3 linked regions of the Xenopus tropicalis genome follow. The protein of the gene in region 1 interacts with the protein of each later gene in a biochemical or structural test. Links are inferred from orthologs where the notes say so. Each region holds a gene or a part of one and is shown in the gene's direction. Other genes may lie near its edges. The genes, in order: thbs1, plg and lrp1.

The links.
Region 2: the proteins of thbs1 (region 1) and plg form a complex in vitro, tested with the Homo sapiens proteins (2 studies listed by BioGRID). The link is inferred for Xenopus tropicalis from reciprocal best matches to the Homo sapiens genes THBS1 and PLG.
Region 3: the proteins of thbs1 (region 1) and lrp1 form a complex in vitro, tested with the Homo sapiens proteins (3 studies listed by BioGRID). The link is inferred for Xenopus tropicalis from reciprocal best matches to the Homo sapiens genes THBS1 and LRP1.

Annotation. Positions count from the first base shown.
Region 1 is NC_030684.2:119,060,169-119,064,319, forward strand, and holds the start of thbs1 (thrombospondin-1), read left to right. Parts: upstream 1-1,337; 5' UTR 1,338-1,496; intron 1,497-2,743; 5' UTR 2,744-2,764; coding exon 2,765-2,831; intron 2,832-3,233; coding exon 3,234-3,811; intron 3,812-4,079; coding exon 4,080-4,151. UniProt on the Homo sapiens protein: Adhesive glycoprotein that mediates cell-to-cell and cell-to-matrix interactions.
Region 2 is NC_030681.2:60,080,696-60,084,347, forward strand, and holds part of plg (plasminogen), read left to right. Parts: intron 1-2,202; coding exon 2,203-2,351; intron 2,352-2,960; coding exon 2,961-3,057; intron 3,058-3,541; coding exon 3,542-3,652. UniProt on the Homo sapiens protein: Plasmin dissolves the fibrin of blood clots and acts as a proteolytic factor in a variety of other processes including embryonic development, tissue remodeling, tumor invasion, and inflammation. In ovulation, weakens the walls of the Graafian follicle.
Region 3 is NC_030678.2:139,399,965-139,404,247, forward strand, and holds the start of lrp1 (prolow-density lipoprotein receptor-related protein 1), read left to right. Parts: upstream 1-1,422; 5' UTR 1,423-1,825; coding exon 1,826-1,916; intron 1,917-4,283. UniProt on the Homo sapiens protein: Endocytic receptor involved in endocytosis and in phagocytosis of apoptotic cells. Required for early embryonic development. Involved in cellular lipid homeostasis.

The DNA of each region.
Region 1 (4,151 bases):
ACCCTATATAATGCACATTTATCTCTCTATATGTTTACAAAGAAGGGGGGTGAATTCCTGCCAGACAGATGAAAAGGAAAGGATAGATTACATAGAAAGACAGGCAGACATAGGGGCAGATACAGGGACAGGGGTAAAAGACAGTTCCTTTAGGGAGACAGGCTGATAAATAGATCGAGAAAAAACAGAGTAGCTGATTTAATGGATAATAATAGATAAATATATACGGAATAGTAAGATAATAAATAAAGAACGCGTGTGGCACTTTACAAATAATAATAAATAGATAACAGGCAGATATAGCTGTGGATAGATTGACTGATTGATTGATTGATAGATAGATAGATAGATAGATACAGATTGATATGAAAGCAGAAAGAAAGAAATATGATATATAGTTGACATATGGATAGATAGATGTTGATAGATATAGATAGATAGATAGATAGATAGATAGATAGATAGATAGATCGATAGATAGATGATAGATAGATAGACAGACAGACAGACAGATAGGAAAGTAAGAAAGAAAGATAATATATAGATGGCATATGGATAGAGAGAGCTAGATGATACATATAGATAGATAGATGATAGATAGATAGATAGATAGATAGATAGATGATAGATTTTGTATTGTGATAAGCAAAGTAAAACAAAACTATATAGACTTATATAGGCTAAGACTAGATAGAGAAAGAGAGAAAGAAAGAAAGACATATAGATGACAGATAAATAGATAGATGGATAGATAGATATAGATAGATAGATATAGATAGATAGATAGATAGATAGATAGATGATAGATTATAGATGATGATAGATAGATAGATAGATAGATAGATAGATGATAGACAGACAGACAGACAGATAGATAGATAGATATTCTGTATTTCCATAGGCAGAGTAAAACAAAGACAAAGTAAAGCTTAGACTACGCATAAAAGAATCAAATCCCTATCGTTCAGCATATGAAAAAGTGCCAGTAGGTGATAAATAGAAAAAACCCGATAGTTATTAAAAGTGATCACCTTCCATGTACAAAATACAGTGTTTGTGTATAACTGTATATGTATATATATGGATATATATGGTTATACACTTGCATGCCTTTCCTGTGTATCTCTTGAATTGATACAAAAAAAAAAGAACTTGGCGCAGAGTCAATTAGAAATTCCTTAGCGTGCGTCAGCGGCGAATATTCGCTGTGCGATAGTTGTGTCTCTCCCTCATGTTGTGAGCTCATAGAATAAACAGTAGCCCGTTTCCTACCGCTCGGCCTGTGATTGGCTGGGGGAGGCTCTCTGGGATGTGCCAGCCGCTTTATATGGAAGGGGAGAGCGCTGTCCGGGGATCAGAGCGCACAGTGAGCTGTTGGGCGCAGCTAAGGGCTCCGTATTCTATTCCTACCAACTAGGCGCTATTAGCCCCACTACCAGCAGCAGCAAGGAGCGGACTCACCTCACCAGAGGAGCAGAGAGAGAATAAGGACAAGAGTAAGAGGAGATGCTTTCTTCCCATTGCTATCCCAGTGCTGCTGCTCTTGCTGTATGGACTAACTCATCCATGTACCATAGGGGTGCCTCCAGCCTGTACCTGTGGATGTATTACACTTCTTTCTGCTTATCTAATTCATTAGTGCATGAGCTTATTACATGGGGCTGAGGACCATGGCATATGTGATTCTGGCTTAGTGCATGATGCTTTTACCTGTATTAGGGAGTTAGCCCTTGGCTTTAAAATTGTTGGGTTTAAACTTTTCTGCAATGTTAATTCTTATAGTAAGTTTATAGAATTTACCATTCAGATTGCCTTAGTATATGACTGTAAGACTTGTGGCTAATTCATACCCATTACTGGCAGCTGATGGTCTTTGTGTCATTTTAAATCCACTTGTGATAGTATAACGCCATCCCCTGGCGCAGCTGGAGGTGCCTGGCACTGTATGTGTTAATTATATTGGTTTAGCGCTGTCCCTGATTACAAGCAAGGTGTTTGGATTTGCTTTTTTGCCTTACTGAGGTGCTGTTGCTGATATTTTGGAATTATTGTTTGAATAACAGGTGATGAGGTTCCCTTTCTGTTTAATTTAATATACAGGGAGAGGTGGTTGTGTGGTTTGAAATTGCTTGTCTGCTTGCCCCCCAGCTATAGATCTCCCTTTCTGTGCCATCCCTGTGGAATGTAAATGAGTGGTTATTACAAGCCACACCAAGAGCTTTATGAAACTTGTCATAAAGGAATGCTCACTATGCTTATTAATGTTACAACGCCAGTGCAATTCTCTTACTTTCCATGAGCATGATGAAAAGCTAATGTATAGATGCAATTACAGACAACGCAAGTTGGTATGTAGGTGTAATTAAAGGTGGAATTCGAGACCAAGGGGCCCCTAGCAATGCCAGAAGGCTGGGGGTCCAAATGCAAACCTTGACCTGTTGTTGAACTATAACTCCCAGCATCCACCGGCAAACCTTCAGAAGTCGTAGATCAACAACTAGGTGTAATTAGTACTGTGTATTTACAGACAGGTCTATTATTGGTGCTTTGAATAGATATATACCACTCACTGTGTTATTGAAAAGGTTAAATGCTATTGTGTGTGACCAGAGATATGCAATATGTGGGGCCCTAGCTACTGTTGAACTGCACCTCCCTGAGGGTTTGCCTAAACTGTTAAGTAGATACCTGGTTTGATGGTAGTGGATATATATTTATAGGTGTCCACCTTAAATTGTTTCAGAAGTAACTGAAGTTCTCCATCATGGGGATGATGAAGGGCATTTTCCTACTGTTGATGTTGGCCGTGCCTCAAACATATCAAGCAGCAGGTAAGAAGGAATAAACTGATATAACGCTTATATTATATATTATATTCTCTTTAAGTAATCACTGTCCTACAATTTGTATGTGTAGAAACTCAGAGTAAATGTAGAGATGGGGCTTTGTACGAAGAGGTGGGAATCATTACTTGTGTCCAGTCTGTAGGTGCAAATTGTCCCTTCATCTAAATTGCACTAAAACATCCACATCTGTGTCACTTTCCCCTATTTAAACACATATATTAGGCCAACTAGAAATCATGCCACTGACTCTCACTGTATATTGTATGAGAGAACCTCCTGGTTCTCCAGGGCTTGATTGTTACATAAAGTCTAAAGAACTTGTTCTGGCTGCTTCTGGGGGTAAATTTTGTATCAAACTTAGATATTCTGCATATGTTTCCATTTCAGAATCTGGGAATGATGATAACAGTGTATTTGATCTGTTTGAGTTAACGGGATACAACCGCAAAACTGGTTCTCGTAAGCCTGAAGGACTCCATTTAGTAAAGGGACCTGACCCTTCAAGCCCAGCTTATAGAATTGAAGATGCTGACTTGATCCCACCACTGCCAGAAGTCAAATTTCAAGATTTGCTGGATGCAATACGTGCTGATAGGGGGTTCATTTTGTTGGCGACTCTGCGTCAAGCAAAGAAAAGTCGAGGGGCACTTCTGTCTGTGGAGAGAAAAGATGGCGCAGGGCACATCTTCAGTCTGATCTCCAATGGCCGGGCTGGAACCCTAGATTTAAGTTTAAGTGGAGAAAGGAAGCAGCAGGTGGTGTCTGTAGAAGATGCTCTCCTAGCTACTGGCCACTGGAAGAACATCACCCTCTTTGTACAAGATGACCGCGCACAGCTCTATGTAGGATGTGACAAGATGGAAAATGCTGAGCTAGATGTGCCAATACAGAAAATATTTACTGAGGACCTGGCAAGCAAAGCTCATCTTCGAGTAGCAAAGGGAGGAGTAAAGGACAACTTTCAGGTGAGTAGGGCCAAGTAAACCTGAGACTCCTTTTAAGTGAAAAGATATTGAGAAGTGGTCTTTGGCTGAGCAGGCATGATTGATGATTCTTGTGATGTGTATCACGAAAAAGAATGGTAACAGAATTATATGTCTAGCAGAATGAGGGCTAATCCCTCATGTTTTGTAAAAATCAGTAAGTTTTCTTTGAATAGGTGTAGCAGAGTGGCTCTTAATCAAAGTAACCCAATTAGCAAAGGGGATCTAAATGGTTTCTTTCTCTTGCCAGGGAGTCCTTCAGAATGTACGCTTTGTGTTTGGAACCACATTGGAAGCTATTCTGAGAAACAAAGGCTGCTCA
Region 2 (3,652 bases), on another chromosome or scaffold:
CAACACCATAAAACTGTGTTGTTGAACTATATAGCTGGTTGTTTGTTACCTGTGGGTTTGAAATGTTTAGAGACCAGATGCTAGAAAGGCACATAAAAGGCAAATAAAACTTGTTACATAGTTACATATTTAAGTTGGGTTGAAAAAAGAGCAAGGTCCATCAAGTTCCACCCTTCCAAGTGAACCCCAGTGCACAGACATAGGCGCATACCAACCTACTTTACACTCACATACAACAACTTCAATACTAATTGTAGATTTTAGTATCAAATAATCTTGGCTATTATGCTTCTTCAAGAAATCATCCAAGCCTGCCGTGGCAGAGACGTTGTGGCCAGACCTATTTGGGGGGTTGATACCTAGACTAGCTAGCAGCAGTGGCATGTGAGTTCACTCCAGGAGTAAAAGGTAGCGAGGGAAAGTTAGCAAGGACTGTTGTCCAAATGAGGGGTGCTTAGAGAGGGGTAGAGCTCCTGAGGAAGGGGTAACAATCCCTAGTGAGCAGGGAGCCCCTGAAATGGCTAATGGCACTCTATTGTTGCATCCAGATGGGACAGCGGTCCTGGAGGCTTTGGTGAGAAATGTTGGATGTGTGTGAAAAGTAGATTAAGAGGGAGAGAATCTGCAGAAGTATTGTACATTATTATCATCCTTTGTTGGCAACTAGAGCTCTGTCTTATGTCTGCCTCTCTGTGAGAAATGCCTGTTATTAAAGTGTGTTTGAGTTCACTGCAATTGTGTGAAGATGCCTGCTTCTTTCAGCAAAAGGCCCTGCACCTGCTGGTGAGAATAGTAAGTGTCTGACAGCCACGGGTAGCAACTTTACACATGGTTTAGACAAGCTATATGACACTGTTTATGTCAGTACTGTTTCTGCTGACAAGGGATACTCCATTAACCTGATGCATGACACAGGATCAGCTGTTTCTTTTCTACTAGAATATATTTACTGCAAATACTTTGCAAAGGCCCAGAATTTTTTACCTATGTGGTGGTGGGCTGATAATAGAATCCAATTTTGACCACTCCCTTTTAAACCACACCTACTTTAAGCCACACCCATGTTATCACAAGAACTTTTAAGACCATACCCACATTAATGGTAGTAGCACCAGTCCCGGATTTGTGGTGAGGCCACAAAGGCCCGGGCCTAGGGCGGCACAAATTTAGGGGCATGCCGCCCCGCCGCAATAAAATGTGTAAGTTTGGCTCCCTTACAGAGCAATGGGGACCTCTCCCCACTGCTCTGTATTGGACTTTAAATTCTTGCGCATGCGCCCCCGGGGTGGGGGCTTAGGGGAGACCAACGGGGGTGGCCTAGGGGCGCCGGAAGGAAAAATCCGGCGCTGAGTAGCACACCAGAAAACCAAATAATTGGTGCGCATTGCAGGGATATTACCATTTACTCATATGTGAAAGAATTATATTATATCATATTAAAACATACCCTTAAATCCATATGGCTCCTTGACCCTGTGGGTAGCACAGAACCCCCCGGCACATATTTAAACAACCCCCTTACAAACAAATTCTGGCATGTGTTAGTATGTGTGTTAGTATTTTAAATCCTATTGGGAACTCAAATAGAGGAAAAAAAACAGGGAAAGTGGCAGAGTATGGCACACACATGCAGAGTGGGGCAGCCAGGCACACAGACAGGGCAGGGCATACAGTTAAACAACTGATCAGTGCTAAAACGTGATCTTCAACAAACAAATGTGCTATATCCAATTAATGAATTGCAGCTTTCTGAATCATCCCATCTGTGCAGGAGTCCATAGTCTGATATAAAAGTAATAGCACTACAAGGAATTGCACATTAAATAAAAACTATATAGTATATTAAGTTAATACAGATTGTGTGTTAAAAAGTAACCAATAAAATCCACTTACTGTATAGTGACTTGTGCACTTGTATGATCTCTCCTTTACCACACACCCAATGAGTCATTGCTGACTAAAATACACAGTTGTCAGAGAATCACACAATTAGGGCATTCAGTTTATTATATAGTTTTATGGAAGCTGACTTCTTAGTGCTGTTTGCTTACTATTTCTATATTACATTATTTTTTAAACTTTTTTTTTTAACGTTCATGAAAACGTTTCAAAACGTCCAAATGACTTCTTCATTTCAACTACCTGTATTGTTAGGTAATAGACATCATAAATAATGCCACAAACAATGTCTCTTTTTTCCAGATTGTATTGTAAGCAAAGGTGAAGATTATCGTGGCATAAAGTCAACCACACTTAATGGACATATATGCCAAGCATGGAGTTCCCAATCACCACAAGAACATGCAAGTTTTACTCCAATTACTCATCCACAATCTGGATTAGAAAGCAATGTAAGATATTTATTTGCATTTAAAAGCAATTTTTTTATCTCCTTAATAGCTTATTATCTCAGAATAACAATATCATCATTTATACATTATGTCTTTAGGCCTCTGCACGCCATTGTGCACCTGTGGACTGAGCTTTGAATCAAATATGGCCTGCATTAGGCCTTGCCCCAATCAAAGAGGGTGGGCAGGGGGAGCATGTAGGCATGTGTTATTATGTGTGTTAGTATTTTATATCCTAGCGGGAACTCAAATAGAGGAAAAATACCAGGGAAAGTGTAGTAGTTTAAAACTTCTTAGACACTTTATTTTTGTAATTTATATTGTTCAAGACTTCCTTGCCGGATTCCCCTTACCTTATAACAATGTTACAGATTTAGAAAGATACTGGTATATCAGACATTTACCCATAGTGCTAGGAAAATCTAGGACAGTATACTTGTTTTCCACCCCAACCCACCCCAGCATAATTACATCCCATAGGTACTGTATTACAGAGGGATGGATAACCACTAAATACTTAAGACTACTTTGGGGAGCATGATATAAAGAATGAGACCTAATGTATACCAGCAATATTAATCACTAACTAATGTGTTTTCTTTTACATAGTACTGCAGAAATCCTGATGGAGATATTAACGGACCATGGTGCTTTGTAACGACTCCTGGTACAGTTAAGTGGGAATACTGTGACATCCCTCGCTGTGGTAATTGAATTATTCTATACTAACTTGTTTTAAAAAATGAAAAATCAAATATATCTATTACCTAATTTGCTTTAATTCTGAAGATTTGTATTGACATACAATGAAGCAGCTTTTATAACAGTATTTAGGTTGTGCTATATTAAGGTCTCATTCTTACCCAATTAATTGCCCTTTGTGTAGCATATTTAAAGTCACCAGACATTTATTTTGCAGATTAACCATGCCTTCTGATTAATGTTCAGGGTCGGAATGGGCCGAAAAAACCTGGTGGGCCCTGGCGGTCCAGACTCAGTTGTTGTTACCAGTCCCCCAGCCACCAGTGTCCTCTCCTGATGTGTTTTACTTACACGCGTTCAGGGGAGGATGTTGGGCGGGTGATGGGGGCCCCTGCATGGGGTTAGAGGGGCGCGGCCAGCAGGGCACCTTGGAGGGTACCGTCCGGACATTTCTTTGTAATGCTTTAGTGACCTTTTTGTCATTTCAGCGACAACTGGGATTGAATGTGGAAAACCAAAGAAAAAGCAAAGGAAGTGCTTTGGGAGAATTGTTGGTGGATGTGAAGCCATTCCATTTTCTTGGCCATGGCAAATAAGTC
Region 3 (4,283 bases), on another chromosome or scaffold:
ATGTGAGAGATGCATAATTTTTATTTATAGTTAGGTTAATGAACATTTTTCTAGAAAAGTGAAAAAATATATATGTTTTATATAAGCTTTTTTTAAAGTGTGTTCCCGCCAAAAAAGTATAGGCATGTTCTATATGCCCAAAAAGTACAACCGTTATAATTAAAAGTGGCAAGTATTCATTGCAAAACAGTGTTGCCCAGGAGTATTGATTACTGATACTGATACTGGTTATTTGCTCCATGGATTTATAAAGCATACTGCCCAACGCTGTTTCAGGGTTAAGTGCCACCCTGAGGGGGCCAGGTCAATGCTGCTTTTTCCTGACAGAGCTGGTCGGGGGGGTTGCATTGCTAGTGCAAGAGTGCAATAGAAGAGCCAACTCAGAATCAGAATTTCATCTCCTTATGTCACTAGGAGTGGCTTTACTCAACCCTTGGTAACGCTCAGGGCACTGCCACCTGAGGTGAGTTTCCTAGCCAGCTTTATGGCAGTAGTGCCCCTAATACCGTCAGGCACTGTCTTATAGAAAAAGCAAGTCCATTGTATACAAATATATATTTATATAGGACACTATTGGAAATGGCACTAATATTTTTGGATAACAAATTTCCAGATAACAACTCCTGTATCTGCAGTTTCTATAGCTACTATTGGGGGCTCAGAATATATAGGGGCCCCAGTGAGGCGCTGAATGATAAGTAGTAAGATAAGTAGTATTTTTTAAAAAAAATGCCTTATTCCCACATTTTAGGGGGACCCTGAAATGATTTTGCTGTGGGGCCAGTAACTTCTAGTTCCGCCACTGAACAGAAGACAAAACATCAGCTACTGGAGCATTAGAATGAATGCTGGAGAATGGCAGGGAGGAGGGGACAGGGGATTCCTGGGCAGAAGGCACTATTACCAGGGAAAAAGGAGCCAGGAGAGAGTTACACAATTACATAGGGCGATAGGGCTCCTATTGACCTATGCTATACTGATTTCTTTCTAGTTAATTGAATCTTTGCCACTTACAAATGAACCAAAGTGCCAATGAAGCTGGAACCCACTTGCAGGGCCAGAGTTAGAAAAGGGTCCCTAGGAATCTGAGAGGAGCTACCGACCGGCAGCCCTCCGGCTTTTGTTAAACTATAATTCTCTAATGACATTGAAAGCTGCAGGGTGAACATCGCTATTATACACCAGACAAACTGTCATTATCTTCTATGTGTTTTTATCAATACTGTGCAGGGACCCCAGGCAAATGGCCCTAAAACAGGCCCTGACTAAGCTTTACATTGAAGCCACAGGTTAGAGACCACCCCCGCCCCCCTTGTAAAGCCGCAGCCTGCTTATCCCAAGAGCTGGTGGGGGCGGGCTAACCGTACAAGACACGCCCCCTCCCTCCCCTCCCTCCCACACATAGTCTCTCCCCAGCCATTCCCCTTCTCATTAATAACACTGCTGGATTCCTCAATCCCTCATAATCAGGGGGGATATCCAGTCAGGTTGCAGCTATTGCCGGGCGAGAAGGGGAATCGCTAGGACTGCATATGCCCCCTCACTCCAACCCCCCCATTCCCCTTTATCAACCCCTTCCCAGCACTGGAATAGAGAGTGTGCAGCCCATTGGCAGCCCTGCTGCTGCTGCTGCTGGCCTCAGCCTCCCCACCTTCCCTCCTTTAATTGTTCACGTTTTTGGGTGATTTCTTTTTTCCCCTCTGTGGCCACTGGCGTCTGGATATCAAGGCATCAAGAGGAGGAGGGAGGCTGCCAGGCGAGGGCCAAGCACTGGATCAAGGCACCCCCTCCCCACCTTAACCCCTGCTAGTCCTTTCCCCCCACAATGCCGTCTCCTAGGACAGATGTTGCAGCTGGAATCGCATTGGGATTACTGTATTGTTGCTTGCACGTTGTTGCGACCTCTGTCAACGATGGTGAGTAGAAGTCCTGCTTTGTGCTGCGCCTGTAACCGAGCGGCTTCGGGACTGGGCAGAGGGGGAATGGGGTAAAGGTTTCTCTGTGCTGACATCCCTCACTGCAGGCCTGCAAATCGGATCGCACTCTCAGGAATGGGAACGCTAGGATGGCTGTCTGTAACACACACACACACCTATTCAGCCCTGACACTGAGCGATATTCCGTTTCCTACATTCTATGCCGCATTCATACCATAAGGTTCGACTACATTTCCCAGAATTCCCTGTAGTGTATGTGCCCAGGTCGGCCCTTACCGTTATGGCTTTGCAGGCCACTTCAGTTTGTGACGAGGTTTCTTCCTCAGATGAAATAGAGCAATGTTAGGAACTGTCTTGTTATATTGTAGCAATTGGATCTAATCTGTTCCAGAGGTGCCCCTTTCTGCCAGAGGGGGAGGGGTGATTTGTTTTGTTTCTGGCCAAGTGAGGGTCTTTTCTTCAGTCATTGCAAAAATTTGGTTTGAGGAATAGGCCCCTCTGATTGCAAAGCTTCCATACACAGCTCTGGTTTCTTTCTATTGCTCTGTGTGGTTTCATAATGGATGGAAATTCTAAATGATCCACACATGGTGGGGGGGAATCAGCCCTTCTCTTGCCTGCCTGTGTGTGTATCTCATTAAATCAATGGCTATCCCTTTTTATTGATTAGTTATAACGCATCTGACGTATGGGCTTGCCATCTAACAATCGTGCTATCTATTTATAAACACTATTTACGCAGCCAATTTCTCATTATCTATACAGAATTACTTTTTTTTTTTTTGTGGTCGTGTGGAAATTGTACTCAACCCTTTTGCCTCTTGCATTGTATTGAATCCAATTGAATTCACCCAGGTTGCACAATGAATTGCTTTCTGGGATTTCTTCCCCTTGGAAATGCTGTCATGTGTGCCTGTGTGGGTTAAACCAGTGCTCCCAATCCCATCCTAGAAATTGTAGTGCTAGCCTGTATGTGAGTTAGTGATGCAGAAAAGCAATCTAGGTGGATATGAAATATGCATGTCCATAGGCCCAGTGTGAGTGGCATGTGAGCTACCTTTATATTCTGCAGCCTTGTACAAAGGGGCCGTGTCAGAAGCAGTGGGCATGAATGTTATGGTATATTTCTTTGTCAACAGTATGGCGTTTGATTCTGTGTATTTTTTTTTTTTTTTTTCTCCTTAATGGCATCACTTGGAAACGGTGAGGGTTGTTGACGAGGGAAACAAGGCTGACATTGTGAAGGCATCTCCATTTGCTATTTGCAAACCTCATCTGCAACCACATCAGCGGCTTCCTCTCTACACAGTGGGGCTGCAGTGCGCCTCCAGTGCGTGACATGGCATTTAACACAGGCAGGGACAGAAGGGGAGATTCATTGGATAGGGTCTTGTTTGCGAGCCAGATGTTAGAGGAGTCCGCTGCATGATCTCATTCTTGCTATGATGGATTTGGCTAACTTCTTTTTTTTTTTCCCCTCCACCTCATCCATTCTGAGTACTAAAGATTCCGGCAAATATTCCAACGCAGTAACCAAAATCGGCTTTAAATTTGGACTTTTGCTGGTGTATGAAATGTAAACACATCACACACACACATATTGTGTTTGCTTGTAAGCTGCTTGTTGCTGAAGAAGATAGCAGTACAGGTATGGGATTTGTTAACCGGAAACCCTTTATGCAGAAAGTTTTGAATAATGAGAAGGATATTTCCCCTAGACTCCATTGTAAGCAAATAATTCTGATTAAAAAAATCCCTTTTCTCTGTAATAATAAAACAGAACTTTGTACTTGATGGTAACTAAGCTTAAAAAACCCTTCCTAATAATCCTAATAAGTAATGGTTAAGTGATGTTTTAGTAGACTTAAGATGGCCATACACGTTACAAACCTTGTTTTGTATGGTAATATCGGTACCGGTACATGTATGGGCTCCCTTAAGGTATGGAGCTCTAAAAAAAAATCCCTTACCAGAAAACCACAGTTCCCAAGCATTCTGGATAACAGATCCCATGCCTGTATTATGAAAAATAAGCTTTGGCCACTTTGTCCTCTTTGTTTCTCTCCCCCCCCCCCCCCCCCCTTGATAGCGATTTCAAAACTGGGTCAAGATCAGAACAAATAACAGCATCATAGAACAGCAACTGAATGCACTTGTGTAATAGAAGCTCCAATGAGCCCTGATTTATTTTTGCACCTATAACAACTAGTGGACTGCTAGGCTTGTTGGTTTTATCTAATTTTCTCATATATGTCCATATTGCCGCGATCTACTGTACCGTTGGCTTGGGGCTTTATCAGTTAGCACGATAGCTACTATCAATTGCCGACCTTAATTATACAATTA